2 linked regions of the Tamandua tetradactyla genome follow. The protein of the gene in region 1 binds, or shares a complex with, the protein of each later gene. Links are inferred from orthologs where the notes say so. Each region holds a gene or a part of one and is shown in the gene's direction. Other genes may lie near its edges.

The links.
Region 2: the proteins of ITGA2B (region 1) and ITGB3 are in contact, whole or in part, in a cryo-EM structure (PDB 8GCE), measured with the Homo sapiens proteins. The link is inferred for Tamandua tetradactyla from reciprocal best matches to the Homo sapiens genes ITGA2B and ITGB3. Residues at the interface, in NP_000410.2 of Homo sapiens: Gln49, Phe52, Arg72, Trp141, His143, Asn145, Glu152, Ala153, Glu154, Lys155, Pro157, Arg184, Phe191, Tyr197, Glu199, Phe202, Pro217, Tyr221, Phe222, Phe262, Asp263, Tyr265, Tyr268, Thr290, Trp293, Thr294, Gln315, Met316, Ala317, Tyr319; in NP_000203.2 of Homo sapiens: Ser188, Pro189, Tyr190, Tyr192, Ile193, Ser194, Pro195, Pro196, Tyr204, Asp205, Met206, Arg242, Asp243, Pro245, Lys279, His281, Ile282, Ala283, Leu284, Asp285, Arg287, Leu288, Ala289, Gly290, Val292, Gln293, Pro294, Asn295, Asp314, Tyr315.

The regions. Positions count from the first base shown.
Region 1 is NC_135332.1:23,079,872-23,096,804, forward strand, and holds the start of ITGA2B (integrin alpha-IIb), read left to right. Parts: upstream 1-10,209; 5' UTR 10,210-11,785; coding exon 11,786-11,973; intron 11,974-13,590; coding exon 13,591-13,712; intron 13,713-13,799; coding exon 13,800-13,897; intron 13,898-14,007; coding exon 14,008-14,173; intron 14,174-14,447; coding exon 14,448-14,497; intron 14,498-14,571; coding exon 14,572-14,617; intron 14,618-14,727; coding exon 14,728-14,856; intron 14,857-15,207; coding exon 15,208-15,255; intron 15,256-15,412; coding exon 15,413-15,456; intron 15,457-15,608; coding exon 15,609-15,662; intron 15,663-15,771; coding exon 15,772-15,824; intron 15,825-16,023; coding exon 16,024-16,235; intron 16,236-16,933. Other genes in the region: GPATCH8 (G patch domain-containing protein 8), read left to right, coding at 1-2,976. UniProt on the Homo sapiens protein: Integrin alpha-IIb/beta-3 is a receptor for fibronectin, fibrinogen, plasminogen, prothrombin, thrombospondin and vitronectin. It recognizes the sequence R-G-D in a wide array of ligands.
Region 2 is NC_135332.1:2,961,575-2,977,908, forward strand, and holds the start of ITGB3 (integrin beta-3), read left to right. Parts: upstream 1-7,386; 5' UTR 7,387-7,408; coding exon 7,409-7,487; intron 7,488-16,334. UniProt on the Homo sapiens protein: Integrin alpha-V/beta-3 (ITGAV:ITGB3) is a receptor for cytotactin, fibronectin, laminin, matrix metalloproteinase-2, osteopontin, osteomodulin, prothrombin, thrombospondin, vitronectin and von Willebrand factor.

The DNA.
Region 1 (16,933 bases):
TGTGCATCTAATTCTTCTAAAGAAACATCTCAGGCCACCTCAGCAGGGAAGGAAAGCCAGGAGGGACCAAAACATCCTACTGGTCCCTTCTTCCCAGTTTTGAGCAAAGATGAAAGCACTGCCCTCCAGTGGCCATCAGAACTATTGATGTTCACCAAGGCAGAACCCTCCATTTCATACAGTTGTAACCCTTTATACTTTGACTTTAAACTTTCAAGGAACAAAGATGCCAGAGCTAAAGGGACAGAAAAACCAAAGGATATAGGAGGCCCCTCAAAAGACCATCTTCAAGGCCTTAGTCCCGGGGAACCAAATAAAAGCAAGGAGGAAGGAGAGAATATAGTATATTCCTCAGCAGGTAGAATGGATGCACCCACTTCAGGTTCTGCCTGTAGCAGCTTGAACAAGCAGGAGCCTGGGGGCAGCCATGGTTCAGAGACAGAAGACACAGGTAGAAGCAAGAAAGAACGATCTGGGAAGTCCCATCGACATAAAAAGAAAAAGAAGCACAAAAAATCCAGCAAACACAAACGAAAACACAAGGCTGATCTAGAAGAGAAAAGCTGCAAGGTAGAGTCTGGTGAGAAGTCTAAGAAGCGCAAGAAACGAAAACACAAGAAGAATAAGTCATCAGCCCCTACCGACTCTGAACGGGGCCCCAAACCAGAACCCCCTGGGAGTGGCAGCCCTGCACCACCAAGGAGACGGCGACGAGTTCAAGATGATTCCCAGCCAAGATCCCTCCCAACTGAAGAGGGTAACAGTGGCAAGAAGGATGAAAGCGGAGGTGGCAGCAGCTCCCAAGATCATGGTGGGAGGAAACACAAAGGTGAACCTCCAACTTCATCCTGCCAGCGAAGAGCTGGCACAAAACGGAGCAGCCGATCCTGCCATCGAAGCCGACCCAGTAGTGGAGATGAGGATAGTGATGAGGTCTCATCACATAGGCAGCACCAGAAGTCTCCATCCCAGTATAGTGAGGAGGAGGAAGACTCGGGCAGTGAGCATTCCCGTAGTCGCTCACTCTCTGGCCGGCGCCATTCCTCACATCGTTCCTCCCGACGTTCTTACTCCAGTAGCTCAGATGCTTCTTCAGATCAGAGCTGCTATAGTAGACAGCGCAGTTACTCTGATGACAGTTACAGTGACTATAGTGAGCGATCACGAAGGCACTCCAAGCGCTCCCATGACTCTGATGACTCAGACTATGCCAGCTCCAAGCACCGGTCCAAACGTCACAAATACTCATCTTCTGATGATGACTATAGCCTCAGTTGCAGCCAGTCCCGAAGCCGATCTCGGAGCCATTCCAGGGAGCGGTCAAGATCTCGGGGCCGCAGCCGCAGCAGCAGTTGTAGTCGCAGCCGGAGCAAACGGAGAAGTCGAAGCACCACAGCCCACAGCTGGCAGCGAAGCCGGAGCTATAGCCGGGACCGCAGCCGCAGCACCAGGAGCCCTTCCCAGAGATCCAGCTCCAGGAAAGGCTCATGGGGTCATGAGAGCCCTGAAGAGAGGCGTTCTGGTCGTCGGGACTTCATTCGCTCCAAGATCTATCGCTCCCAGTCCCCCCACTATTTCCGATCAAGCAGAGGAGAAGGTCCTGGGAAGAAGGAAAATGGCAGAGGAGATGACAGTAAAGGGACAGGTCCACCCTCCCAGAACAGCAACACTGGTACAGGAAGGGGGTCAGATGGTGAATGCAGCCCTGAAGACAAGAATTCCGTTACTGCCAAGCTGCTACTAGAGAAAATCCAGTCAAGGAAAGTAGAAAGGAAACTCAGTGTGAGTGAGGAGGTGCTGGCCACCCCTAATAAAGCTGGACTCAAACTCAAGGACCCACCACAAGGTTACTTTGGGCCCAAGCTCCCTCCTTCTCTTGGCAATAAGCCTGTCCTTCCACTGATAGGAAAACTCCCAACTACCCGAAAGCCCAACACCAAGAAATGTGAAGAGTCTGGCTTAGAAAAGGGGGAAGAGCAAGAACAGTCAGAGACGGAAGAGGGGCCCCCAGGGAGTAGCGATGCCCAATTTGGGTATCCATTCCCCTCAGAGGAAACAGCTGGCCCCTTATCAGACCCTCCCCCTCCAGAAGAGCCAAAGTCTGAAGAAGCTACTGCTGATCACCCTGTGGCTCCACTGGGTACCCCAGCACACTCTGACTGTTATCCTGGGGACCCAACCATCTCCCATAACTACCTCCCTGACCCCAGTGATGGGGATACTCTAGAGTCCCTGGATAGTAGCAGTCAACCAGGCCCTGTGGAATCCAGCTTGCTACCTATAGCTCCAGATCTTGAGCACTTCCCCAATTATGCACCTCCCAGTGGGGATCCTAGCATTGAGTCAACAGATGGGGCTGAAGATGCCTCACTGGCCCCTCTAGAGAGCCAGCCTATCACCTTCACTCCTGAGGAGATGGAGAAGTATAGTAAGCTCCAGCAGGCCGCACAGCAGCACATCCAGCAACAGCTTCTGGCCAAGCAAGTAAAGGCCTTTCCAGCCTCAGCTGCCCTGGCCCCAGCTACTCCAGCCCTGCAGCCCATCCACATTCAGCAGCCAGCCACAGCCTCTGCCACCTCCATCACAACTGTTCAGCATGCCATACTGCAACATCATGCTGCAGCAGCCGCTGCTGCCATTGGCATTCACCCCCACCCTCATCCTCAGCCTCTTGCCCAAGTACATCACATTCCCCAGCCCCACCTGACCCCGATTTCGTTGTCTCACCTTACTCACTCAATCATCCCTGGCCACCCTGCCACCTTCCTCGCTAGTCATCCAATCCACATCATTCCTGCCTCAGCCATCCATCCTGGGCCCTTCACGTTCCACCCTGTCCCACATGCTGCCCTCTACCCAACTTTACTTGCCCCACGACCTGCTGCAGCAGCTGCCACTGCCCTTCACCTTCACCCACTGCTTCATCCCATCTTCTCAGGTCAGGATCTACAGCACCCCCCTAGCCATGGCACATGAATTGAGTGATGGGAGTGCAGAAAGGGCTGGGGAAGGTGCTTGGGGGTGTTGAGCCATTAATACCAGCAAGTAGAAGCTGGAGTGGGCAGTGTCTTGACAGCCAAAGAATTGAGTTTTGGCTTGCAGGGGTGGTTTTAGATTTGAGGTTTGCTTGAGTTTACTATCAGGGAATTTTTTTTGTTTGTTTGTCTTCCTTTCCCCTTTCCTGTTTGTCCATCCCTCTTCTATGTTTCTAAGCTGGGAAACACCAGTAAGTACTACCCACTGCTCTGCAGCAACATCTCCAAACTGTCAAGTTTAGATACACCCTCCCTCTACTTTTTATCTTCTGCTCTTCCCTTCTATAAATTTTTAAACATTTTCCTCTTCTCTGGCCAGCGGGTAGTCACCAAAACATTTGCTACAGACCCATCTGGTCCTGCCTTCTCAGTGCCACAGGGAAGCCAAACTGTCCTCAGGTGGTGAAAGCACCACTGCTTTGGGTCAGTGTCTTTGACTGTCTCTTGGTGAAATTACACCAGGTGAGGTGGAAAGGGAGTCTGATCTGGAACCAGATGTTAATCTGGCTGTAATTCTATCCACTTCCCATACAGAGAGCCACATGTTTGGCACTGTGTCCTCATGTCCCCATCCCAAAAGAGGCATTTGCATATCCCAGAAAAGGAGATCCTATCATGAATAGAAGCTATGTGGAACATGGAGTCACCATGTGCTTCCCCAGAGAGGAGCTCATGTGTCTGAAGGGTATTTTTTCTTATGTCATGTTGATGTTTCCTTCTTAATTTATAGGATTTTTTTTAATGTAAAAAATTGCACTGAACTCTAAACGTAAATGCTGCTTTTTGTAGCTCATATATAAAAGGTTCCATATTTGTAGTATACTGCAATAATATTTTTTACATCCAGCTCTTTAAGTGATCCTTGTTCTGGTGGCTTTGTGTAAATATGTTTGCCCTAGTTGAATTAAGAAACTTTAAAGGTTATAAAATGAAAACAAAAAATAAAGCATTTGTTTTCTGCTAGATGCAAAAATGACTAAGCATGTATATTTTATCAAGGTCATGTATTTTTTGAAGTTATGAACTATAAAAATGTTTAAAAAAAAAAAGAAACATTGTTTAACATTTTTTGCTGGGACAAATGTTAAGTAGTTTGCAGTAAGTGATGCCCCCAGCACTGGGATTTTTGAGCTAATGGGCAGCAGTCAGCTGGGGGTGTCAGAGAGATGTTCATTTGCTTTGCTATTTTATACAGAGAAAAGATGAACCCCACAGGAGGAGGGGGAGATTCAGGAGCTTTATTCTGTAGAAGCAGTGGGATTCAGAGTGATTGTCTGGAGGACCCTGGGTTTCCTGGGTGCCTTATTCCAGGCAGTCCATTTGCCTTCCTAATACTTAGCCCCCTCTGACAATTTTTTAAATGTGCCTTTTGGGTTGGCTAGAAACTGAAGGAGTAGACTGGAGGAAAATAGAATCGGGACAGTTTTCTTCCTCCTTTTTTGGGAGGTGAGCACATTTATAGACACTTCAAATTATTTTGCTTCATTGTTTCCATGTCTTCAGTCCAGCCTAATTTGAAAGGTTCCTTTTTTAATTTCTTCCCATGACACTGACCAGAGAAATTATCACCACAGTCCCCCCAGGTTATCAGCTCTAATTAATACACTGACCCAAAGGTGCTTTGCATTTCAGGTCCCATCTCCTTGGGTGTAGTTAGCAGTTCCCTCTTTGGCATTTGCCTACCAATTCCTGTGTCTAGAATTGGTTGGGTGGTCACCTGACAGCAAAAACAAAATCTTAACCTGGGCCAGGGCTCTGTGTTCCTGTCTTTCTTCTCATATTACCAAAAGAAAACATTTTTTGAGTTTATGAGAAGCAAGTGCTAGGTAAATAATGCCCTTAACTGAGCCCCCTACATGTAGTTCAGTGCTTTTCGTCTGATTCAGAAATATCACTTTTTAAATGACTAGCACTGGGAAAAGGAAATCATCTGTTTGAAGAGAAGGGACTCATTTTTCTTTGCTTTCAGCCCATGTAAATATTTAAATAATACAGTATTAACATTTCTGTGCTGCTTCTCATTAGCTTATAGATTGAGCCATGCGTGGCTGCCTATCTGCCTTCCTGGGGGCAGTTTTCTTTAACTCCCAGAATAGTGATTTTAAAACTTTAAAAAAAAAAAAAAAAAAAAGGAAAAATGAAATAACCTATCCTTACAAGCATTGCAGACTGTATTTAACTTTATCACATATGATAGAGATATATATGCTGTAAAATGAGGGAAGAGAACTTTCTAATAAACCAATGATTTGTGGAAACGTAGCAGAGTCTGTCATGATTGTTGCCCCATCCACTCAAGGTGGGAAGAGATGGAGTTGTGTGTTACAAATAATATCTTGCTGGAAATGATCAGGGAATAGGTTCTTGTGAACAATTTGTTTGTAAGGTTTGGGATTGTGCCTCTCAAAACTCAAGACTTGGGCGGGCCACGTTGGCTCAGCAGGCAAGGACGCTTGTCTGCCATGCCAGAGGACCCGGGTTCGATTCCCGGTGCCTGCCCATGTAAAACAAACAAACAAACAAAAAAACTCAAGACTGCCCAAGTTAAAGGGAAAGATTAAAACTGGAAGGAAGTAATAGTTAGGTTTCTCTCAGTCTTGGGTATCTTGGAATGTGTACCTCTTGTATACTCCCTCTTTCCCAATAATGTTGTTCTATTTCCTTTTTCTCAGATCTATAATCTGTGTAGTAGATAGTGTGGAGTGTGGGTGTTTACTAAATGGGTTTGGAATTTCCAGCTGTGACATTTAGTATTTTGGATGAATTTAAGGGCATTAGGATTACAGGATTTCACCTGCCCAGCCTTTGCTCTCCCAATGAAGTTCTATATACCACACTTTTATTCCTCTACTCTACCTTTTAATACCACTCTTAATGCCTCACAGTCTCTGCCTCATATAAGAAAATATGCCCTGAGTGTTAGCAGATGAAAATCCTTACTCTTCCATATCAAAAAATCACAAAAGAGGCAGGGAAAATTTAGCATGGAAAGCTAATATAGATTTTTAGTGATAAATTAGATTCCCCTCTCATCCTCAAGCCCTTGAAAAAGGAATACCATGTCCATTTCTTTCTTATTCTCTCATACAATTTGTGTTCTACCGTCCACCAGAGAGGAGCTTTTTGACTTGGCTCTTGAGTTGGGTGCTTGGATATACCTATTTTCCTAAAAAGGCAAAGATCCCTTCCCAGAAGGAAAGGATATTAGAAGTTGAAAATTGATTTTTCTGAGAGCAGCAAGGCGTCAACTAGAAGTGACACTTGCCTTCACAGAGTATGCCATATACAGGTCTGTGCAGTTACCGTATTCTGACACCTTCTTCCCAGCCCCTTGGGCTTGAAACATATGAGTACTCCCTCTTCTCCACCCTTTGACTAACTCAGGCCTTGTCAACCATTTTCATTCTCATTTATAAGGGATACCTTCACCTGCCCCTTACCAACTCATGCCTGAATTATTGTAACATCTTCCTGGCTGGTTTTCTTGACCCTCGGATTGAATTCCCTGCCCCATGTAAACATGCTGCTTTTCCAGAATCTGAGTGCAATTCTTTTTGTATTTGCTGTTTACTAGTAAAATTATAAGCTCTGAGAGGCCAAATACTCTCAGAGTTATTAGTGTGTGTTACATAGAATTGAGTAGATATTAACATTTTGATTATATATTTAAGATATTCTACTGCTTCTCTAATAAAAAAAAGGATACGAACATAATCAAATGTAAACTGAGGATTATACATCAAGATTCATCAAGGGAACATTCAACATTTCTATTTTTTTCCCATCATATAGGTCAGTGCCAGGCACATAATAGAAGCGCAATAATTGTTGGCTAAATGAAGCCTTAATTGAACTTTAAATTCAGTGAGGGATTCTAGGACTCAGGCTTATGGGGTGAAAAAATGGAAGCAGTGTGTCAGCATTCCTCTGCCTACTATCTCAGAAGGAAGGTCAACCCAGGTCTGACACCAAAGAAACACCCATGAGGAACAGAATCCATACTGAATAGCAAACTCTCCCCACATCTGTTCATCTGCCTATTTCCAATTCTAAATGGTACTCCTGTCCTACCAGCCAGCCAGGCACCAAACCATATCCAGTTAACTGCTTCTGTCATCTCTGCACTCTCTTTTGTTCCTGACATTAGTACCCTGGTTGAGGCCTCATCACCTTTTTATTTTTTTGATTTTGTAAACTATGTTAACATATATAACTCAAATTTTCCCATTTTAACCATATTCAAATGTACAACTCGGTATTACTATATTCACAATATTGTGCTACCATCACCCATATCCATCACCCCTACTTTTCATCGTTCAAACTCCTCACCCGTTAATCCATAACACTCTCTTCCTGCTCCTAGTAACCTATAACTGTGACGTTTGTTTCTTCTAGATGTTTCATATAAACAAGATCCCACAGTATTTCTCTTTGTGTCTGACTTATTTCACTCAACTTGATGTCTTCAAGGTTCATTCATGTTGTAGCATACATAAATTTATTTTTACAGCTGAATAATATTCCAGTGAGTATTTATACCACATTTTGCTTATCTGTTCATTGTTGATGGATGCTTGGATTGCTTCCACCTTTTGGCTTTGTGAATAATGCTGCCATGAACATTGATGTGCAAGTATTTGTGTGAGTCCCTATTTTCAATTCTTTGGGATATATACCAAGAAATAGGGTTGCTGGGTCATATGGTTATTCTGTTTTCAATTTTCTGAGGAACCACTGAACTGATTTCCACAGTGACTACACCACTCTGCAGTGCTACCACCTATTTCTCTGCATTCTCATCAGCTCTTATTATTTTCTGTTTTAATAAAAGCGATCCTAGTGGATATGAAGCAGTATTTCACTGTGGTTTTGATTTGCATTTCCTAATGACCAGATGTTGAGCATCTCTTCATATATTTGTTGGTCATGTGTATATCTTCTTTACAGAAATGTCAATTCAATTTTTGGCCATTTTTAAATTGGGTTGTCTTTTTTTGTTGAGTTGTAGCAGTTCTTTATATATTCTGAATATCAAACCCTTATCAGATATATGATTTGCAATTATTTTCTCCCATTCTATGGGTTGTCTTTTCATTTCTTTGATAGCGTCCTTTTTGGCATTCAAATATTTTTTGATGATCCATTTTATCTATTTTGTTGTTATGGCTCATGCTTTTGGTGTCATATCTAAGAAATCACTACTAGACCCAAGGTTATGAAGATTCCTCCCTATGTTTTCTTCTACGAGAGGCATCATCACCCTTACCCCAGAAGTTTGTAGTCACTACCTATTTGGTCTTTCCACTAAGCCTTTCCTTTTCCAGTTCCTTCTGTCCTCAGGCAGCCAGTGAATCATCCAAATTAGAGCTTAAATGATCAGTGTGTCTCTGTTTCCTGTGTTAAATTCTTTAGGATTCACCATCTCCTAAGGATTAAGGGGCAAATTCCTTAATGTGGCATTCAAGGACCTCCACTGATTTGATCCCAGTCTTCCTTTCCCTCCTCATGTTCTAATCTACCCCTTTAAAACACCCTATGCTGAGTCAATACTTGCTTTTCCCTATAATTGACCTCTGTGTTCTGTTACTCTGCTTATGTTATTCCCCGTTCCTAGAAACCCCTTCATTCTCTAACAAAAAGCAGCATAGTGTAATGGTTAAGAACATGGACTCAAGCAGAAACCTGTTTGAATTCTAATTTTGCTACCCATTAGCTATGTATACTTGGGCAATTTACCTAAAATTCTTCGTTACACTTTTTTGCATCTGTAAAGTGGCATAATAGTACCTACTTTATAGGGTTGTTATGAGAAACATGATATAAATATCATCATCTAGGAGCATTATTTACAATTGCAAAGAGATGGAAACAGCCAAAGTGTCCATCAACAGACGAGTGGCTAAACAAACTGTGGTATATACATACGATGGATTATGCAGCTTTAAGACAGTAAATTTATGAAGCATGTAATAACATGGATGGACCTAAAGAACATTATTCTGAGTGAGACTAGCCATAAACTAAAGGACAAATACTGTATGGTCCCACTGATGTGAACCGACATTCGAGAATAAACTTGGAATATGTCATTGGTAACAGAGACCATCAGGAGTTAGAAATAGGGTAAGATAATGGGTAATTGGAGCTGAAGGGATACAGACTGTGCAACAGGACTAGATAAAAAAACTCAAAAATGGACAGCACAATACTACCTAATTGCAATGTAATTATGTTAAAACACTGAATGAAGCTGCATCTGAGCTATAGTTTTTTTTTGTTCTGTTTTTTAATATATTTTTTGTATTTTTTATTTTTATTTTTTCTCTATATTATCATTTTATTTCTTTTTCTGTTGTCTTGCTATTTCTTTTTCTAAATCGATGCAAATGTACTAAGAAATGATCATACATCTATGTGATGATATTAAGAATTACTGATTGCATATGTAGAATGGAATGATTTCTAAATGTGTTAATTTTTTTTTAATTAATAAAAATATCATCATCTAGGCATGATTGAGGTTTTAGGCACAATCTAAACTTTTCAAGGCATGCTTTACTGTTCCTCTGCTGCAGTTGTGCATTCATGTTCATTGGACTATACAAAGTATATCAGTACTACAGTAATTACTCAGTTGAGGACAATGGGAGGTTGGAGAGAGACTAGAGGGCTGGGTTAAGTATTTATTCGAACAAATATCTTGTATTCCTACCATGAACTTGTCTCTAAGAATTCAAGCATTGAAGAATGCTCAGACTAAAGCTCAAGGATTCTTTTTTGTTATAGCATAACTTACATCTTTCAAATGGAAAAACAATAGTATCATTTACAGTATCTTAAGATAAATTGCCTCTGAATGGGAGTTTCCTTTCCAGTACTTTGAGGTCCACGCAATATATCTAGAAAATTTACAGTTCTAGAAAATGAAGACTGCTTAAATCAAATGGGGATCAGGAGAGGGCCTATTGTTTTCTTTTTGTAGTAAAACTGCTGAGAGAGTTGATTTTTTTCTTTAGACATCATTCGCCACCAAAGCTCTTCCAGAAAAACTAATGATATATATAGAGAGAGCTCTTGAGTCTACCATTCATATTAACTCCATATTAATTTTTTTAACAAATGGGAGTGCTTCTGAGTATTTATGTCCACATTCTGCTTTAAGACTGTGTATTTAATTTTCATAAATTATTCTTGGAGGCCCATTTATCATCCCTGTCAATCTTGTAAATTCATGCCTTCATCATCTTCTAGACCCCAGCTAACTATGCCACTCCTGTTACTTTTTGGCCTTCTTTGAGTTCTTTCAGAAGTCAGAAATTGCAAGGGACTTTTTCTCCCGAGTCCGTGGTAACTGCCATCTTGTGTTGCTGTCACTCTCAAACTTTTACCCTAGTGAAAGATGGTATTTTGAGTTATGTGCTAAGGTGGTGAGGGAAAGGGAAGTTCTTAAGGGATTCCAGAATAATACAGAGTAGTTGGGGAGGATAAAAGAATGGTTAAGTTTGATCTGAAGAGAAACATGAATCAGAACTCCGAAAAGTGGCTATGTTCCTTTACTCCTTGGTACTCCTGGCCTCTGCCTCTCATTGGTACTCCTGTCCTCTTCCTCTCATCTATAAGAGATGACCTTGCCTTTCTTCTCAGAACTCTTCCTTTTCTTCCCATATGTGATTCCATGTTTGCATCTTCAGCCTAAGTACATGCTTCTGTTCAGTCTGTTTATGGTTCTTTCAGCTGTACCTACTACATGTTGGGTTCTTGACTAAGCCCTGGGGCTTCAGAAGGAAACTTGCTCTCCAAGGACTCATGGACCCAATCTAGCAAACAGATTGTAACTAACTGGAGTGATCAGCACTGTGCCTCAGACTCCAGCCTGAGGAGTCAGGGGAGGCTTCCTCTAGTCAGTGACCCCACCAGAATCTTCATAGTTGGACAGAAGCTCTGTCACCAAAGAAGGCACTGCTTCCACCTGAACAACTGGTACAAAGTCTCAGAGTCTGTGAACCAGAATACCCTGGAAGACCACTTTCTCCCTTGCCCAAATGCAAGATCCATTTACCAACCCCCTCCCCAGTGTTAGCTTCACTGCTGTGGCCACACTGAGACTTGCCCCAAGGTGGAGAAGTGAGGAAGCTGCTGCCTCAATATAACTGGCTGAGGCTGCCCAAGGTCCTGGCAGGAGGAAGTGGATAAGTACCATATCTAAAAAGAAATGGCATCCTTAGGCCGTATCAGGGACAGCAGTTTCCTTATTCCTTCCCCAACTTCTGGCCAAGTCAATGTGCACAGCAGTACAGCCAGCTAGGGGAGAGTGGGTGAGGTGGGGACAGGATTGTAGGATGCAAAAGCTGTAGTAAAGAACTGTGGGCTACAATGGAGGTGTACACACTAGTTAATTCATGATTGCACCATCCCAAGCAGAAAGTGATGACTGGTAGAGAAGATAAGATTCAAAAGACAGTTAAGAGGTAGATCCAACAGGACTTGGTGATAAATGATAATGGGGGGCGGGTAGGGGGAGTCATAGCTCTCAGCCATAAGCATACTCCCCCAGGGTGAGGTCACCCCCACTTCCTGGCAATCCTAGGGACCAAATGAGTGCCTCTAGGGCCTATAGCCCATTGCCCTGCCCACTGCTTGGCAAGTTATTCTGAGTTTCAGTTTGATAAGAAAAGCTTCTGTGGTGAAAACCAAAAGGAAGTGAAAGAGCTGGCCCATTTCTGCTAGAAGGTTGTGGGAGAGAGAAGATGGCCAGAGCTTTGTATCCACTGCAAGCCCTATGGCTCCTAGAGTGGGCACAGCTGCTCTTGGGACCCGGTGCTGCCCCTCCAGCCTCGGCCTTGAACTTGGATCCACTGCGGTTCACCCTTTATACAGGCCCCAATGACAGCCACTTTGGGTTTTCATTGGACTTCTACAAGGACAGCCATGGGAGGTGAGCCATGGGAGAAGTCTGGGTGTTGGGAAAGAAAAGGAACCCTCTACTCTGTCACTGCTTCTGTGGGTTTCGAGTTCCCCATTTATGATGGAGGTTGAACAAGATGACATTGGAGTCTGTTCAGGCTGAGCTATAGACAGGAATGCTAGGGAGGGACTGACTCAGGTGAGGGTGGCAGGGAGGAGGTTGGTACTGAACCCCAGCAAAAACAAAGGAAAGACGAACGTTCCTGCCTTCTGTTTTTTCCCAAGGTTAAGTTGTATGACCTGCTCCATGCTCACCCTTTGGAAAGACAGAGAGTAGCATATGTCCTAAATTGACTTGCAAAACTGTAAAATTATCTACTCACCCCAATCCTCAAAATTATAGATATCTGAAAAGAAGCAATGTTATTTTAAGGTTGGGATTGTTTTAAGGTTGGGATTAAATAGACTGAAGTCAGGGAATCTTCAGGGAAGATTAGGGAACTGGCTCATTGTCTTAATAGCTTTACAGTGAATAGTAACTTATTGTGGTGGAACTGGTGGTGCCCATCTTTGGAGAGGGGCAATGGCAGATAGCCTGCAAATGTTCTTGATGGAATTTTTTCTGTTGAAGAGAGCTAATTCTCCCGAAGTCAAGTCCCCATTGCCAAGGTGGCTCACATCCAATGACTGATGAATTCAGGGTGTGGTGGTGGAGTGTGTAAGGATCTGGCATTCTAGCCTCAACCCAGGACTTTTCTGTAGGGTTTGCCAGAACTCCCCAGGAGAGGGGAATCAGGGGACAAAACTGTCATTAGGTCTGCATCTCTGCTTAACTCTCCTCCTCCCACTCCTGTTTCCCCTCCACAGGCATTGATCCCAGGGCCACTTCTTGGTAAATATTCCATGTGCTTTATATATATGCTATTTCTTATATATACTATATATAGTATATAAAATTTAGATACAAAATTTTATAATATATATATCATTTTATTGAGAACCTTTATGTATTTGGCTAGCACAATGCTAATTTATTTCATTTACCCCTGATAGCTTTAATTGGTTGGTATTATCTCCATTTTACGTGAGGTCACACTCACTGAAAAGTTAAATGACTGAGCAAAGTCTCACAGTAAATGAAGAGTTGTGATTTGGACCTAGATCTGCTAAGGGTCCTCAGCTCCATCAGCCCTCCCCCCTCCCATCTGTACCTAAGAGGCATTCTGGCTTCCCTCATTCTCCTTTACCATTGAAACCAGCTCTCAAGAAAAGATGTGGTGACAGTGTAATAGTCTCCAGACAGACGTTCTAGCAGCATGTATTTGAGTGGGACAGGTAGGGGGAGGTGGGGATGGTGTACAGAGCTTGGAAAGTCTTTGACAGTTGGGTTATCAAATCTCTTGTATTCAAATCAAACTGAACTGGTTCAAATCTTACCCTAGGCACGCGATTTGCCCTCGCTGGGGGTAATTTTTCACTGTCCATAAAATTAAGAGGTTGGCCCCCACAGTCTGGAAGGTTTTGTTGAGGCAGGATGGTCCAGCGCTGTCCATGGCATCCTGCCCTTCTGGGCAGTGCACCCAGCGTGGGCACGGGGGTCCGGGGCACGAGGGAATCCACACCGCGCTCACCCAGCTCTCCTGCGCAGTGTGGCCATCGTGGTGGGCGCCCCACGGACCCTGGGCCGCAACCTGGAGGAGACGGGCGGCGTGTTCCTGTGCCCCTGGAGGGCCGAGGGCAACCAGTGCACCTCGCTGCCCTTTGACTTCAGTGAGTCACAAGCAAAGGGGGCAGGGAAAGGGGTCAGAGGGGGTGTGGATGGTGGGCTTCAGGCCCTCACCCCTTTCTACTCTCCAGGGGATGAAACCCAAAACATAGGCTCCCAAACCTTCCAAACCTTCAAGGCCGGGCAAGGACTGGGGGCGTCGGTCGTCAGTTGGAGCGACAACATTGTGGTGAGCACCGCGGGACGGGGCACTGGGAGCAGGGACATCTGGGATAGGATGAGAGCGAGGCGGATCCCGAGCCGAGCGCCCTTTCCCAATCTCCCACGGCCCTACCCCAGGCCTGCGCTCCCTGGCAACACTGGAACGCCCTAGAAAAGAACGATGAGGCCGAGAAGACGCCGGTAGGGAGCTGCTTCGTGGCTCAGGTCCAGAGCGGCCGCCGTGTGGAGTACGCTCCCTGCCGGGCCAACACGATGAGCAGAGTTTACGTGAAGAATAACTTCAGTAAGTGCCTCCGCGGCGTTCCGTTTTGGCCCGCCCACTGCGGTCATTCGGCCCCGCCCTTAATTTGCTCCCTCTGTCTGAGCTCCGAGGCCCGGCTTTCGATCTGGCATCACCCAATGGCCCAGCTCCTAGTCCAGCCTCGCCCCCACGCCGCTTCAAGGCCAGGCCTCTGCACGCCACATGGTCCCGCCCCATGTAGCTCCGCCCGCGCCCTGCCCCTGGCGGGGCTTCCAGGTCCATCCTTTCTCTGACCCTTCCTTCTTGCGTCCTCTAGGCGGAGACAGGCGCTACTGTGAAGCGGGTTTCAGCTCCGTAGTCACCCAGGCGAGTAGCTTAAGAGCCGCGTGGGGCCAACCCCCGAACAGGGTCCCCTCTCACCTCCAGGGCTTCCTTTTCAGGCTGGGGAGCTGGTACTTGGGGCCCCTGGCGGCTATTTTTTCGTAGGTACGTGCTCCATCCCACCCGTTACACTTCCGTCCCTTATCGCGGCTCCGTGCCTCCGGGAAACCACCACCGGCGTCTAGACCCCCCACTCCCTGTCCTTCCGGTCCTAGGTCTCCTGGCCCGCGCTCCACTCACCGACATAGTCTCGAGTTACCGCCGGGGCACTGTCTTGTGGCACGTGCCCACCCAGAGCTTCACCTTCGACTCCAGCAACCCAGAATACTTCGATGGCTACCGGGGTAACTCTGGCACCGCCCTTCCAGGCTTCCCAACAACCTCAGAGTCACCGCCCATCCCAGCCTGTCAGGTCCGCCCACCAACCCAGACTAAACAGCCCTACCACCTGAGGCACCTCCGCCCTCTGCGGCGGTAGTTCACCGGCAGACTGCCTCACTTCCCTGCGTCTGTCCCTTCACGTCGTGTACCCGCAGCGCGCAAGTCTGGGCCTCTAGATGGCCTCAGTTTCCCATCTATATAATGCCGGGTTTGGACTGGGTGGTCTCTGAATCTTCTCCTTCCTCGCCCTTGGCCTTGTCCCTCTTCACCGCTCCCCACCACCCGGAAAAAACTAATTCGCTCTGTGTCCTCAGGGTATTCGGTGGCTGTGGGCGAGTTCGACGGGAACCCCAGTACCACAGGCAAGAAATCCCCGTATACAAGACAGGGGAGAGGCTTGGGGCGCCCAGACCCGGGAGCAACACCTCTAGCCCCGCACAACATCTTCCCTGGGTGCAGCATAGGGAGTGGAAGGAGGGTAGTCACTAAAGCTCATTGGCTGGGCCCGGCTCTCCCCAGAGTATGTCGTCGGTGCCCCCACCTGGAGCTGGACCCTGGGAGCGGTGAGTGTCCCTTGCCCTGCCACTCAGCAACCCGAAGGCCACGATTCCAGATTTCTTGACAATGTCCCGGAAACCTCTTGTCCTTTCTCACCTGGAGCCGGAGGCCGAGGTGCTAGGCGGGAGTGATGTCTTTGCGTGCGGTCTCCCTGCAGGTGGAGATTTTGGACTCCTACTACCAGACGCTGCACCAGCTGTCTGGAGAGCAGGTGGGGAAGGCTGAGACTCTAGGATATGCTGCCAGATAGGAAAGGGTGATGTCGGAGAGGGGGTGTCAGGTACCAGGCCGCGAATTAAGATGTCCTTGTCTTCCTGCAGATGGCTTCATATTTCGGGCACTCGGTGGCCGTCACTGACGTCAATGGGGATGGGTGAGGATGGAGGCGGGCCACCTCACCCAGCTGAGTCTCAAGTCACCAGTGGCCTGCGACGCCCTCACTCTCCTCCATTCCTTTTCCTCACCCCCATGTGATCACCCAGGCGAGGCGGGAGAGTGAGCTTGGGCCAGATTTCACCCTGGCCCCTAGCATCCCCACCCCCCACCCCACGCAATGACCCTCTGGCCCGCAGGAGGCATGACCTGCTAGTGGGCGCACCGCTGTACATGGCGAACCGTGCTGACCGCAAGCTGGCGGAAGTGGGGCGTGTGTACCTGTTCCTGCAGCCTCGTGTCTCCCACCCGCTGGGCACCGCCAGTGTCCTGCTAACTGGTACACAGCTCTATGGACGATTTGGCTCCGCCATCGCGCCCCTGGGTGACCTGGACCGAGATGGCTACAACGGTGAGGATCCAGAGGAGCCCAGATTGCTGCAGAGAGGTTAACAGCAACTACACAGAGCTTAGACTTGACCTCAGAGCAGTGGGAGCCAGGAAGAGCTTTAAACAAGAATGACTCTCTCATCTATGTGCTTAGACAAAAGGACACCAATTAGGATGTGCTTGCATTAGTCCAAGCAAAAAATGATGACCATCTGGAGTTGGGTTTTGGCTTTGGAGATATAGATAAGGGCAACTGCCCAGATAGAGAATTTAGATTACTAGCACTTGATGGGTAACTAGAAGTGAAACTAAGTGAAAGGGAGGAATTGGGTGGGTGATAGAGCCCTTTACTGCTTTAGGGAACTCAAGGCCACGCCACAGGTTTTAGGGTGAGGAGTGGGATCCATGGGTCAACTCTGAACTTGTTCAGCTTCACAGGCTTGAAAGCATTAGGTGGAAATATCTAGAGAATAATTGCATGAAGCTTCTCCACTTCCATGAGAGAGGTCCGAGTGGGAGATAGAGATTTGGGGAGGATGGATGAGGTCTCCAGAAGTCCGTGAAAGACAGAGCCCCTGGGAGGAAGAGCATTTAGGGAACTAACAGAGGAAGTGAATCTGGGAAGGAGACAGTAGAGTGTCCAGAGAGGTAAGAAGGAAACCAGTAGATCTGATGGCCCAGACCAGAGGAAGAGAGCACTTTAAGCAGAGGAGTATGGGA
Region 2 (16,334 bases), about 20 Mb from region 1:
CAAGATAATCTGCCAGTAATTTTCACTAGAACAATACTTAAAAATCTTCAAGGGAAAACAGTAAAAAATTTACAATGCATAATCCCCAATATTCAGTATACAATATAGTATTATTATACATGTGAAGACACAGGCAAATGGGGCTAATAACAATAATAATAATAAAAGCAACCGATGTAAACAGACCTGATATGAGCCAGAATTGGCAGATTAAGATTTATTTATTTATTTATTTATTTATTAATTAAAGAAAAAAAAGAAATTAACACAACATTTAGAAATCATTCCATTCTACACATGCAATCAGTAATTCTTAGTATCATCACATAGATGTATGATCATCATTTCTTAGTACATTTGCATCGATTTAGGAAAAGAACTAGCAAAACAACAGAAAAAGATATAGAATGTTAATATAGAGAAAAAAATAATAATAAAAAATAAATAAAAAAGCATAAGACACAAACAAACAAACAAAAAACTATAGCTCAGATGCAGCTTCATTCAGTGTTTTAACATAATTACATTACAATTAGGTATTATTGTGCTGTCCATTTTTGAGTTTTTGTATCTAGTCCTGTTGCACAGTCTGTATCCCTTCAGCTCCAATTACCCATTATCTTACCCTTTTAACTCCTGCTGGTCTCTGTTACCAATGACATATTCCAAGTTTATTCTCGAATGTCGTTCACATCAGTGGGACCATACAGTATTTGTCCTTTAGTTTTTGGCTGATCACTCAGCATAATTTCTCTAGGTCCATCCATGTTATCACATGCTTCATAAGTTTATTCTGTCTTAAAGCTGCATAATATTCCATCGTATGTATATACCACAGTTTGTTTAGCCACTCGTCTGTTGATGGACATTTTGGCTGTTTCCATCTCTTTGCAATTGTAAATAATGCTGCTATAAACATTGGTGTGCAAATGTCCGTTTGTGTCTTTGCCCTTAAGTCCTTTGAGTAGATACCTAGCAATGGTATTGCTGGGTCGTATGGCAATTCTATATTCAGTTTTTTGAGGAACCGCCAAACTGCCTTCCACAGTGGTTGCACCATTTGACATTCCCACCAACAGTGGATAAGTGTGCCTCTTTCTCCGCATCCTCTCCAGCACTTGTCATTTTCTGTTTTGTTGATAATGGCCATTCTGGTGGGTGTGAGATGATATCTCATTGTGGTTTTGATTTGCATTTCTCTAATGGCCAGGGACATTGAGCATCTCTTCATGTGCCTTTTGGCCATTTGTATTTCCTCTTCTGAGAGGTGTCTGTTCAAGTCTTTTTCCCATTTTGTAATTGGGTTGGCTGTCTTTTTGTTGTTGACTTGAACAATCTCTTTATAAATTCTGGATACTAGACCTTTATCTGATATGTTGTGCAGATTAAGATTTTAAAATAGGTATTATAAATGTGTATAAGGAAAATATAGACATAATGGCTAAAGAGATGGTGAATATCAGCAGAGATATTGAAACTATAAAAAAAGAAAAAAGGAGAAATTCTAGAACTTAAATTTACAAATATCTGAAATTAAATGTCCTAGATAGGCCTAGCAGCATATCAGAGACTTCAAAAGGAAGGATTGGGAAACTTGAAGAGAGATCAGTAGACTCTTTAATGTGAAAATCAGAGAAGAAAAAGAGTGGAAAAAAAATGAACTGAGCCCCAGGAGCATGTGGGGTAATATCAAGTAGTCTAAAGTATGTGTAATTGGTGTTTCATAAGGAAAGGAAAGAGAGAGAATGGGCAGAAAAAACATTTGAAGAGATAATGGCTAAAAATATCCCATATTTGGTGAAATATATTACCACTTAAATATCCAAGAAGCTCATCAAATTTTAAGCTGGATAAATAAAAGAGAAGCACATCTATTCACCTTATGGTCAAACTGCAGGAAAATTAAAGATATGGAGAAAATTTAAAAGTAGCCAGAAACAAACCTGGGATAATTGAGCAACAAAATAAATAATGATAATTTTTTATTATAACCTGGAGAATAAACTAAATATTCATGAGTTCATGCTAATAGAAATAAAAAATCAAATTAAGAGAATAAGTCAGAAAGCACAGCACTTCTTTACTATAGAATATCAATTTATAGATACAGAAGAAAAAAGGAAATAGAAAATCACTATTAATCAAACACCACAACAATAACTGTTGCAGTCAACAAACATTGAAGGATATTAAAATTAGTGGGTGAAGTATGAAGAGAAATGGAATATTTACACAGACTCAAAGTATCGCCCCATCAGGTATTCACTAATTACAAAGAGAACAATACTAACTTGACAGTGAAGAAATGTGGCAGATACAACCATGGGATAAAAATTAATAGTATCAGTAATAAGACATATCAATATCACCTACCCCTGATATAATGTACTGAGAAGGCACAATATCATTTTTGTGGTATTCTTGTCCAAAATGCCTCAATCCAATCATGAGAAAACATCAGACAAACCCAAACTGAGTGACATACTGCAAAATAGCTGGCCTGGACACTTCCAAAGTGTGAAGATTATGAGAAAAAAAAAAAAAAGATCAAGGAACTGCCCCCAACACTGAAGGAGACTAAGAGAATGATAATTAAGTGTAATATGAGGTCCTGCATTGGATCCTGGACCGGAAAAAAGACATTCATGGGAAAATTGGCCCAATTCAAATACTTTATCTAGATTTGTTAATAGTATCAATGTCAATGTTCTGAGTTCAATAATTATGATTTGGTGATATCCGATGTTAACACTGGGAATGATCATATGTTAAGGATGTTTGTGTTTCTTTCTTGTCATATATATTTTTAAAATTTAAAAAATTAATAATAAAAAAAGATGCTAACATTAGGGAAAGTTTAGGGAAGGGCATAGGGAAACTCTCTTTAGTATTTTTCCAAGTCTTCCGTATGTGTAAAAGTATTTCAAAATGAAAAGTTAAAACAAGAAAAGCCGAAGGGAAAAGTCAGGGGAACGAGAATAGAAATGATGACTGACTTGGCGTCAGAAATAATAGTGGCCAGAAAACAGTAAAACAACATCTTTAAAGTACTGGCAGGGAGTGGGGAGGGGGCCTATTAATCCAGAAAATCTATATCTAAGAAATACCATCACGAATGAAGGTGATAAAAAAAAAAGAGGGCGGGCCGCGGTGGCTCAGCGGGCAAAGTGCTTGCCTACTATGCCGGAGGACCTCGGTTCGATTCCCGGCCCCAGCCCATGTAACAAAAACGGAGAAACAGAATACAATAAAAACAAGAAAATGTTTAAAAGATGTTTCCCTTTCTTCCTTCCTTCCTTCCTTCTATCCTTCCTTCCTTCTCTCTGTCTTTCCTTTAAAAAAAAAAAAAAAAAAAAAAAGAATGAAGGTGATACAAATGAAAGCCAAGTGTATTTGTTACCAGCAGAACTTAATTACAATAATTGCTAAAGGAAGTTATTCAAGCTCGAGGAAAATAATACCAAATGGAAACTAAAACACAGGAATAGAGAGCATCAGAAATAGTAAACATGGGGGTAAATTAAAAAGGCTATCTTTTTAGCTTCTTATTTACATTATTTGAAAGGCAACTAACTGCTTAAAACCAAAGTAAAATATTATGTTGTGTAATTTATAATGTATGTAGAAGTAAAATATATGATAAAAATAGCATAGCAGATGGGGTTGTGCCAATGGAATTACACTATTGTACAATGTATTTTGCATGCAGTGGTACAATGCTAATTCAAAGTAGATTAGATATGATAAATTGAGGATGCATATTGTAATCCTCAGAGCAACGATATGCACACACACCCCATAAAGAAGAGGTTTAGCTAAATAGCCAATAGAGGGGGAAAATGGATTAATCCAGAAGAAGGCAGAATAGGGAAAACAAATTGAGAAGATGGAACAAGTAGAAAGATGGTAGGCATAAATAAAACCATCAATTATTGAACTAAAATGTAAATGGACTGAGCCATTTCCCTTCCCTGGGGCTGGGAGCTCAGCAAGACTCATTGGCTTGGTTGCTGAGGCTGGAAGCAGTTGAGAATTTGCCAGCATATTCACCAGGGTTGGCCTTTGGTCAGTGTGATTGCTGAGGTCAGTGTCAATTCACCAGTGAACTGCTCTGGTCCTGCACTTTGCTTGTTTTGGGAGGTTTTTGATTACTGATTCAAACTCTTTACTTGTTGTTGGCCTGTTGAGTTCTATTTCTTCTTGATTTAGTTTAGGTGATTATTGTATTTCTAGGAATTTGTTCATTTCATCTAGGTTATCTAATTTGTTGACACACAATTGTTTTTAGCATCCTATTATAAAGCTTTTTATTTCTGTGGGGCCTGATTTTAATTATTTGTGTCCTCTCTTTTTTTCTTTGTCTAGGTAAGGTTTGTCAATTGATCTTTTAAGAAACCAACTTTTGGTTTTATTGATGCTCCCAGTTGTTTTTCTATTCTCTATTTCATTTATCTGTGCTCTACTTTTTGTTATTTCCTTTACTCTAATAACTTTGGGTTTAATTTACTCTTCTTTTTCTAGTTCCTCCAGTTGTGAGTTTAGGTCACAGATTGCAGATGTTTCTTTTTTTTTTAATGTAAGCATTTAAAGCTATGAATTTCCTTCTCAGCAGTGCCTTTGCTGCATCCCGTAAGTTTTGGTATATCGTGTTTTTGTTTTCATTTGTCTCAAGTTATCTTCTTATCTCCTTTGTGATTTCTTCTTTGACCCATTGGTTGTTTGAGTATATTGTTTAATTTCCACACAGTTGTGAATTTTCCAATTTTCCCCATCATTAATTTCTAGCTTTATTCCACAGTGGCCAGAGAAGACACACTGCATGATTTCAATCTTTTAAAATTTATTGATACCTGTTTTGTGATCTAATATATGGTCTATCCCAGAGAATGATCCATGTACACTAGAAAAGATTCTGCTATTGTTGGTGAGGTGTTCTACCTATGTCTGTCAGGTCTAGTCAATTTATAGAATAGTTCAAGTCTTCTGTTTCCTTAATTGATCTTCTGTCTAATGTTCTATCCTTTATTGAAAGTGGTGTATTGAAGTATCCTGATATTAATGTAGAACTCTCTATTTCTCTCTTCTAACCTGTCACTATTTGCTTCCTATATTTTGGGTCTCTGCTATTAGGTGCATGTTTATTTATAATTGTTATATCTTGTTAAATTTAACAAAAGATAAACCACCCAATTTTAAAAATAGACAAAATATTTGAGAAGACCCTTCATGAAATAAGGGTCTATGAATGGCCAATAAGCACATGGACAGGTATTCAATCTCATCAGGGAAATGCAAATTAAAACCATAATGAGATACTACTTCCCACCCCTTAGAATGGCTAAACTTGAAAAAACTAATGATGCTTATTGTTGGTGAGAATGCAGAACAACTAGTACCCTCATGCATTCTGGTAGGTGTCTAAACTTTATTTGTAAGATCCCCAAACTGGAAACATCCCACTGTCTACCAATAGAAGAATGAATAAACAAACTGTGGTATATTAATAAAATAGACTATTACTGAGTAATAAAAAAGAATGAATCACTGATATATGCAACAATATGAATGAATCTCAAAAAACAGTTTGTCGAGGAAAAGAAGCCATAGAAGCACATAATGTATGACCCTATTTTATGGGTTTCAGGAAGAGGCAAACTAATCTGATCTATGGTGAAAGAAATTAGAAGAGTGGTGACCTACCGGGGGTAAGGATTGCCTGGAAGAGGAGACAAAGGAACTTCACGGGATGATGAAAATATTCTTCATCTTGTGCATTTCATTCTATATAAAACTTATCTCATTAAAAAACTAAATAAATAGCAAATTACAGCATAGTCTGCTAGGCAGAGGTGTAACCAGGCTGTGCGACTTGGATTTTGTTCCAGGTCAATAACATTTTAAAGGACATAAAATATCAAACTGGTGATTTTAAAACATTGTTCGTGTTGTTAGGGCTTCTCCAGATGCTGCAAGCTATCACCCCACCCGCCACGGCCGTCTACGCCTTGCCCTGGACAGCTAGAGGAAATGGCTGGAGCTCGGGTCTTAAAGCCCAGCTCCAGGAGCCCCACTGGAAATGGCTAGTGATGCTCTGCCTTGATGTGTGCTACCATTAAGATGTTTCCTGATGCTATGGGAGATCTGAGGAGGGAGGGCCCACAGCTGCAGAGGGTCAGGCTGGAGATGGCGGTGGTAGGGCTAGATTACATGGAAGAAATGACATACACCCTGGAAGTTGAATTTTCCAGGTGGAAAAAGAAGAAAGCGGCTCCTGAAAGGCACGGGGTTTGTCTTGCGCTGGGGTAAGAGGAAGGGTGTAGGTGTGAGTCAGAGCTGTCGTCAGGTATCTTGTTTGTCTCAGGAGAGGGCCGGCAGTCTGAAAGCCTTAGGGAAGCCCCGGAGCTGGAGACTGTGAGTTCTTCTGTGAACGGATGCCTCAGGCCTCGTTTCCATTCCTATCAGAGCCTGCCCGGGACCCAGGCCTAGGGGCCTCCATAGCATTTTATCTCTTTTTCCGTGGGCAGTCACCAGGAATCAAACCCCGGTCTCTAGCACTGCAGGTGGGAACTCTGACACTGAGCCATCATTGACCGCCCCCCACTCCACACGCCTTTTTTTCCATAGCATGTTTTCATCTCTGGGCCTCTAGAGGTTTCCAGCCAGAGTTCTGACCCAAGGACTATGGGGTAGGATTCAGGGGAAGAGGTCTTTGCTGAAGACACAATAAAGCCTGTGGATTTCAGTTTGGAAGCAGTACCCTGATTGTGTCCTGAATGATTCATAGGCACCTAATAGGTGCAAGCATTTGTAGGGAGAGGCCCTTTATAGGCCTATTATTACTGCTTACACACGTTTGATCTCAAGCAGTTTACAGTTTGCAGGAAAACAAAACTAACCCAAGAAAAAGTACGGAGCTGGTAGTCAACAAGTGTCTGTTAATCAAATGAATGAAAGTGTGAATGAAAAAAAAAAAAGCTGATGGTACTAATGCAAAGTGTCTCAGGAATTCAGGCAAAAGAGATCAGTGCCAGGTGACTTCCAGGTGTTAGGAGAGCAGCAGGCTCCCACCTTTTCTGACAATACCAAGTGCCCTAGCGCGGACTTCTCGGACCTGGAGGTCTGTGGAGGATGCCCGCACGACCCTCTCCAGCCCTCAGGCCGACCGGCGGATCCACGTGGGCGGAGGCGAAGGGTCGAGATAGCAGCCGCAGTTTCCCACCGCCGGCCCTGGGTTCTCGGTTCAGAAAAAGGCCGGAGGGGAGGAAGCCGGAGTCGGCGGCCCGCCCCGTTGCGTCCCACCCACCACGTCCCCTCCCCTCCAGCTACGGGAAAAGCGGCCGCGGGCGCCACTGCTCGCTGTGGGGCTGGCGGGCGCGGCTGAGGCGGAGTGCGGTGGCAGGGGGACGGGATGAGAGCGCGGCCGCGGTCCTGGCCGCTCTGGGCCACTTTGCTGGCGCTGGGGGCGCTGGCGGGTGTCGGCGTCGGAGGTGAGTGAGGCTTCCCCTGGGCTCCGCGTCCCGCGTCCCGTCGCAGCCAGATCAGCACTTGGAGAGCTGAAAGCCGGACTGGCGCGTCCCTCGCGTCTGCCCTCGTAGTGCGCGGCGCGGGCTGCCATCCCTGGAGCCCGGAGCTGGCCCTTTCACGGGCCGGCGAGGGCAGGGTGAGAGACTCGCGGTGTTTGGAGGTGGGTCCGCTGGACGCGGAAGCCGTTAGCTAGGTTGGAAGCCTTCCCGGGGCGGCTCCGGAGTGAGCGGTGCTGTGGGCGCATCTCCCGGGCGCGCGTTCAGCCTCCGCTGCGCCTTTCACCGCTGGTCCCCGACCTCTAGAGAGAAGACCCGCTCTGGTAGCCGGCGAGGTGGGCCTTCCCGACGCTGCCCCTCCGCACTGGCAGAGACATGTGGTTGTAACTTCTTGGATGGAAATGGATGTGTACGGGCGGATTTTCCAGTTACTTGACATTCCTGTTTCTCCTTGTGTTAGCCTTTCTTCCAAGTGTCGTTACAGCCGCGGGCTCGTTTCAGAGCAGAATGAGGGTCCTGTCCCCAGCAGGGTTCCTGGCGGGCTGCGGGACTTCTGCTTCTGTATCAGAAAGCGGACCTGAAAAACTCTTGATGTTTTCGGGGAGCCACACCAAGGATCTCTGGGATGGTTTGAATCCCTAGTTTTGCCGCTCCCGCTGCTGAGCGCACCATCAGCTGCCAGGGCACTCGGTATTCCGCCGCATTGGTGCTGGGGAACGGGTGGAGGGACCCGGAGTGCGGCCCGTGGTGCTTCCGGGGCCTGGTGAGCTCCCAGGGCGAGCTCTGGCTCCAGGTCCGTCTAGGACGCATGAGTGTGCATGCCTGTATTTTTTATTTTTTTTTTTTTGCAGTTTTTAAAATTTTTTTTTATTAATTAAAAAAATTACAAGAAAGAAACAAACATTCTTAGTATATGCTCATTCCGTTCTACATATATAATCAGTAATTCACAATATCATCACATAGTTCATGCCTGTATTTTTGAGAAAAGCAGCAATTCTCTTTGGAAAACAATTTAGACCATATGGAAGGGATAACAACAACAAAGTACGAACTGATAAGTCAATTTCAAAGGTAACTGTTCAAATTATTGGTGAATGCCTTCAAGACTTATATGTGCAGACAATATATATAAAAGGAGCATACTGGATAGGGCAGCAGCATCTTGATGGAGGAGTATGCTTGATACATAGGTATAGCTGAAAGGTCCCAGGTCATGAAGATTAAAAAAAGATCAACTGATGTCCTCAGCTTGCAGTGAACAGCCTGATTGGTGACTGTCATGCAGAAATGTGAATCCCTGAGATGCTGAGAAATTATAACTTTGGCTCAGATGCTGCCAGCTGCTGATGGGAGAGAGGGGTTGGAGAAATCCACAAGCACAACTCAACTGTCTCATGAGATGCCTGCTTCCATGAACCTAAAACATCTTTTGCATCCACAGCTTCTCATTTCTGAGTGTAACCATATATTTTTTTTTTACAGTTTTAGAAGTAAAGAGGTAACATAAGATAGTGCCTAGCAAGATTCTTCACTCAGTGTTACTGAAGATGAAAGTGTCTTCTCTCCCCGGGTGTATCTTGTGCTGATCTAGTACACATGATTGTAATGACCCATATGGAATTCCACTGCATTGGCATGCCTGTTTGGTTGGCAGTCCTTTGCATGAAAGGTCCTTTAGGAGATCTGTTCACAGATTCATCGTAGTGAATTGGGTGCCTCCCAGAAGTGGTGGATCCAGCTCAGATGCCTTCTGAGAGGCAGGGTAGTGTGGTGGTTGAGAGCAGGGGCTGTTGAGTCAGACCTCCATCAAAAGTGCCCAGTAGAGCAGTTTCTGTTGTATTTGCACCCCTCACCCGGGTGCTGGCGGCAGTGTTGCAGGTGTCATCAGATTCCAGGGGAAGCAGGTGGTGGGCTAAGAGTAGGAGAGTTCTGTTGGGACAGTTTTGAGGGGACACAGAAAGAGCTGGTGGTGGCATGGAGACTGTCCCAGACTAGGAGAGTCTGGTATGGGGAGAAGAGAAGTTTGAGGGTAGAGCTGCATTTTGGATTTTATGTATAAGAATGATCTTTCAAACTTCACCCAAGCAATATTGGATTTTGTGGTTTCCTCATATTTAGGTCTTTATTTTAACCTAGAACCTGATGGATAGTAAGTTTTGTTTGCTCTCACCATCTAAGTTGGTTGATTCTGAGTTGAGGTGCTGATTTTTTCTGTTGAGTTTATATCCCAGCAACTCTTCAACCGAATCTCTCTGCAGGAACCTTCAGGTGAGGGGGGAGGACAGCTATGGTTTAGAGTCGTTGGATACGGTTTGATTCTTGACTTGCTTCTTATTGACTGTGTGACCCTGGAAAAGTGACTTAATCGCTTGGGGTTTCAGTTTCCTGTTTGTAAAGTGGCAGAAACAATACCTTGATGATTACGTTGAGTAAATGAGATAAAGGCACAAAGCAAATATTCAATAAATGGCAACTACTGCTATCATTATTCTTCCGTTCTGTAGAATGTACCATGTAAGGGTGCAAGAGCCATTACTGTTCCGGACATGAGTGCAAACCAGCTCCCAGAACGAGCCTGACAGGGTCCTTTTCCCCACACTTATGTGGAAGGGGCCTCCTCTTATTTCAGTCCATTCCTGTTGGGTGCTTGGCATATTTCAGCTATCTAACCCAGCAAGAACCTACAGGAGGGGGTGAGGACAGCAGAGGCTTTATCCAGGAGAAGATTTCAAGTCCTGACTCTGGGAAAAGAGGAAGATACAGGAGTCCATAAAAGTCCAGGTTCCATGAAGACAAAGACGTGTATTTATGGTCAACATTATCTCCAGTGTTGGCATATAGGCGGCAAAATAAACAGATGTCTATGGAGTGCTACGAAAAGATGTTGAGGGGTGTGGGCTTTACTTTAAGAAGCCTGATATTTGCACATCTTCAATCGTATAAGATCCTAAGTGCTCTAACTGGACACTGTAAAGTATTAGAATACACCTGAGACCATGAATTCTTTGCTGCGCGCTATTGTACCGTTTGGACCACTTAGGATGCTGGAAACTCAGTGGACTCCCTGTGAATTATCTTCCTGTTTTCCTTCCTGGGAGGAGCAAGGCAGGAGCACGTACTCCCCTGGACCTGCCTCAAACCTTTGAGGGTAAGGGCAAAGGTGAGGCGTGGGGGAGGCCTCCTGGGGACAGCACAAGATGGGGTGAGGAGGCCACAGTGAGGAGGGGAAGTCTGGATATGACACTGGAATTTCCTAATAGAAATTCCTCCTCTGCAACTCTGCACCCCACTAATGACTTCCGGTTATCATCTCCTCCCATCCCCAAGAATCCTTCTGCCCTTGTTGGCAGGAAGAGCCAGGAAGTGTGCCCACAGGAACCACAACTCATGAATCAGCAGACAGATAATTAACTGGGAAGTGAGTGAGCAGCTTCAGGGCTAAACCGCTTGCCTTGGTCCAGCCCTCTCTGCTGCCCGCAGAGCTGGCTTGCTGCTTCACCTCATCGCCTCTTCTTTCCCTGAACCTTGGCCCTTCTGAGTGGGAAAAATATTATACCTGGTGGAGCTCAGGTCACTAGTGGAAATGAAGGTGGGAGCAGGGAAATGACATAGCTCAGGGGAACCGCTTATTTCTGCTGAGTAAAATGCTGGCATTTATGTAAATGTGAGGCTCCTCAGCAAAACATTTATAAAATCTGCCTTTCTCTCCATGCACAGCGTATCCCCAGAAACACTTTTTTTTAATTACAAATTTGCTCTATTGAGGTATAATTAACAATCAGTAAAAATTTGTCCTTTTTTAGGCATATAGTTCTATGAATCTTGACAACTGTATATTTGAATATTTCCATCACCCAAAAAAGTTTTGTTAAGCCCCTTTGTAATTAATCCCTATCCCCACCTCCAGTCCCTGGCAACACCGATCTACTTCCTGTCCCTATAGTTTTAGCTTTTCTAGAAAGTCATATATGTGAAATCACACAATGCTGTCTCTAATCCTGGCTTATTTCATTAGCGTAATTCATTTGAGATTTATCCATATTGCATGTATCACTAGCCTGTTCCTTTTTATTATTAAGTGGCATTCCATTGTATGAATGCACTACCATTTACGTATCCACTAATAAATTGCCTTTTTTGACAATTAATGAAGTCACTATAAACATTCGTGTATAGATTTTTGTGTAAACATGTTTTATTACTTTTGAGTTAATAACCAGAAGTGGGATTGCTGGGTTTTATGGTATGTCTAACTTAAAAAAAAATTGCCAAACTATTTTCCAAAGTGGCTGTCCTGGTTTGCATTCCCACCAGCAATATATGAGAGTTTCAGATACTCTGCATTGTTGCTACCACTTGATATCGTCAGTTTTAAAAAGTTTAGAGGGCCGTGGTGGCTCAGCAGGCAAGAATGCTTGCCTGCTATGCCAGAGGACCCAGGTTTGATTCCCGGTGCCTGGTCATGTTAAAAAAAAAAAAAAAAAAAAACACTGTAGAAAGTTTAGATATTGTAATAGGTATGTAGTGATATCTCATTATTGCTTTAGTTTGCCTTTCCCTAATGGCTAATGATATAGAGCATCTTTTATGTGTTTATTTGCCATATGTGTATTTTCTCTGGTAAAAAATTTGTTCAAATCTTTAGCCCATTTTTGTGTGTGTGTGTGCTGTATGGAAGGGGTAACATTTCATTCTTTTTCCATGTAAGTATCCCCTTATTGCAGCAGCACCATTTGTTGAATTTTTGTTTGGTTGGTTTTTTATTTGTTTTGTTTGTTTGTTTAGGAAGTGCACGGGCCGGGAATCAAACTCAGGTCTCCTGCAAGGCAGGCAAGAATTCTACCACTGAACTACCTTTGCACTCCCCTTTAGCCCACTTTTTAATTCGATATTTATATCCTTCTTTTTGTGCTGCAAGAATTTTTTTTTTAATTCTTCTTTAGTTTTTAAAGGCTTTTTATTGTGTAATAGAACATCTATACAAATAAAAGAAAGAAGAAGCAATAATTTTCAAAGTACACTCTCAGAGTTTGTTATGGGTTTCCGTTCTTCTATTTCAGATTTTTCCTTTTAGCTGCTCCAAAACACTGGAGGCTAAAAGAAATATCAGTATAGTGATTCAACAGTCATAATTGTTTGTTAAATCATATTTTCTCTGTTATATCTCCTCCTTCTCCTTTGATCTTTCTCCATATCTATAGGGATCTTTAGGCAATACCCATTCTGACTTTTTCATGTTGAGAAGGGGTGCTGACACCAAAGAATAGGAGAATGTAATTAATTGGTAATCTTGGAAAGGCTTGTCCCTCTGGGTTTCAGGATTTATCTGGCCTAGGAACCCTCTGGAAATTATAGGTTCCAGGAAAGCAAACTCAGTGCATGCAACTTTTATAGAGTCTCAGCTCGAGCCCCAGGTGTTCTTCAGGGTTAACAGGAATGGTTTTGGTTGGAGTTTGACAAACCATAGTAATGATCACTATCTAACTGAAACTTACATAGGAGTAGCCTCCAGAATAGCCTCTTGACTCTATTTGATCTGTCTTAGGCACTGATGCCTTTTTACGCTTCTTTTCCCCTTTTTGGTCAGGTAGGTTGTGTTGATCCAGATTCATCCCTCAGAGTTATGATCCAGGTTGTCAGGGAGAGTCTCATCCCTGAATGTCATTTCCCATGTAGTGGGGAGGGTAATGATTCTCCTTGCAGAATTGGGCTTAGAGAGAGAGAGAGAGAGGCCACATTTGAGCAACAAAAGCGGTTTCTTGGAAGCAACTCTTAAGCCTTGTTATAGGTAGTGTTAGCTTTTCTATTACAGAAATAAGTTTCATAAGGGCAAGCCTCAAAATCTAGGGCTTGGCCTATTTTCTTGGGAGTCCCCAATGGTTGAGGGAGCGGGTACCTGGGGTTTCCCAGATGGGAAAGTTTAATAGTTGTTTTTTTTTTTCCCCTTCAGACCCTCAAGGGACTTTACCAATACTTTTTAGTTATCAGCCCACCATAGTCTGAGATATTTGTAATTACATTACAATGTGTAGACGTTCAAGGCTTCGTTCCCCGTCTGGACTCTAGGAGTTTGGGTTGTTTAAATTAGCTACCCAGACAGGTTGATTTAAAAGATGATATATGATATACATATATATATGATATATATATCATCTTTACCTTGTATTCTGATTTGCCTTAGTCCCAGGCAGATTGGCTTCTTTTTTTATCTCTAATAGAGGCCTGATATTGTTTTGATTATTTTAACTATTATTGTATATAGCTATGCTAACTTGCAGGGCTGCAGCACTCCATTTCTGGGTCACAGAGTTACTCAAAGTTCTAAGGAAATACCAGCTGATACACATTGTGCTGGTTTGAAACGATGCATGTTTCCCCTAGAAAAGCCATGTTTTAATCAAAATCCCATTTCATAAAGGTAGAATAATCCCTATTCAACACTGTATGCTTGAAACTGTAATCAGATCATCTCCCTGGATGATGTGATTTAGTCAAGAGTGGTTGTTAAACTGGATTAGGTGACAACATGTCTCCACCCATTTGGGTGGGTCTTGATTGGTTTATTGGAGTCCAATAAAAGAGGAAACGTTTTGGAGAATGGGAGATTCAGAGAGAGCAGAGAATGCTGCAGCACCACGAAGCAGAGAGTTCACCAGCCAGCAACCTTTGGAGATAAAGAAGGAACATGCCTCCCGGGGAGCTTCATGAAACAGGAAGCCAGGAGAGAAAGCTAGCAGATGACGCTGTGTTCACCATGTGCCCTTCCAGATGAGAGAGAAGCTCTGACTGTGTTTGCCATGTGCCCTTCCACTTGAAAGAGAAACCCTGAACTTCATCAGCCTTCTTGAACCAAGGTATCTTTCCCTGGATACCTTAGAGTGGACATTTCTATAGACTTACTTTAATTGGGTCAGTTTCTTGGCCTTAGAACTATAAACTAGCAATTTATTAAATTCCCCCTTTAAAAAGCTATTCCATTTCTGGTATATTGCATTCCAGCAGCGAGCAAACTAGAGCACACATATAGCTCAGTGTCTTAGAATCTAGAAATACACTTATAAGTTCAGACCTAAATGTGACTGCTATGGAGGCTTACAGTCTAGGCTGCAATTTTCATATAAGTATTTTCTGAAAGAGACCTTAGCATATTTGTTGTTTTGTTTCTGGCTTATTTTTCACAGCACATTGTCCCCAAGGTTTATTCAGTTTGTTGTGTGCCTTTTGACATCCTTCCTTTTTGTAAGTGCACTGTATTCCATCATATAAATGTATCATAGTTCACCATTCTGCTTCTCAGTCATTGTACTCTTTGGCTCCTTCCATCTGTTAGACATCATGGATGATGTCCAGGATAAAAAAAACATGGCTTACAGTATCCTCACTTGGTTGTACAATCAGCAGCACTCTCAATTTTAGACAATTTTCGTTGGTCCATAGTGACAAGGAACCAACAAACAGAGCGTCACCAAATATCCCATCAAAACTATCCCTTATAACTTTTTCCTCCCTCCCAATTAGTTGCCTCTGGTAGTACTGTGGTACTGTTAGTGTCTTTCTGTTAAGTGTTGGCCATCGCATGCATTTTTAGTTTCCCCCCATACCCCTTGTGCCGGTTTGAAAATATATATTCCAGAAAGCCATCTTTTAATCCTGATACAATCTTGTGGAGGTAGCTGTTTCTTTTAATCCTAATTTAATACTGCAGGTTGGACACTTTTTGATTAGATTATTTCTGTGGTGATGTGGCACCCCCAATTGATTAGATAGGTGGGTCTTGATTAGTTTCCTGGCGTCCTTTAAAAGAGGAAACATTTGGGAGAGTTTAGAGCCTACAGGGTGAGCGCCGAAACTTCAGAACAGAGCTGATACAGATGCCGACACTTGGAGAACAGAGACACAGATGTTTGAAGATGCTTGGGGCCTGGCAGACGTTGCCATGAGATGTTAAGCAAGTCAGAACCTGGAGAGAGCCAAGGGAAGCCAAGAGATGCAGGCCAGTCCCAGAAAAGCAAAGTGAGGAGCCCCCACAAGAACAGAGGCTGAAAGCAGTAGAGCCCAGGAGCAAGGGACTAGAAGATGCCAGCATGGGACTACCCAGCTGACAGAGGTGCTTCTGATGCATTGGTCTTCCTTGAATTAAGTCGTTCTAGCTCTGGTATATTGCATTCTGGCAGCTTGCAAACTAAAACGCTCTTTTACTATTGACTCTTTGTCCAATAATAAACCTTTGAAATAGTTCATGTGAGAACTTATTTATAATTTTAGATTTAAAATTATACAATTTTGTATAATTGTATCAGTGGGATTAAATGGCGCTATACATTGCCTTTCAATTATATTCACCTTCAATATGGCAATGTTATTTCTAACCCCACTAATTAGTTACCATCACTTTTATCCATTCCCTTGCATTTAAGTTCAAACTCTTTGGGTAGCCTTTCCTCTGTCTCTAGCTTTTGTGTTACCTCTAGGTCTGCTGTATTCTACAGTGTAACCTCTGAGATTACCTTTACCAGAGTCATAATAGTGAAGTTATATAGTATCTGTCCTTTTGTGTCTGACTTATTTCACTCAGCATTATGTCCTCAAGGTACATCCACATTTTCATATGCTTTGGGACCTCTTTTTGTCTTACTGCTGCATAATATTCCATCATGTATGTATGTGTACACACACACAAACCCACACACACATACATACCACACGTCGTTTATCCACTCGTCTGTTGATGGACACTTGGATTGTTTCCATCTTTTGTCAACTGTAAATAGTGCTGCTGTGAACATCAGTGTGAAAATGTCTGTGTCACTG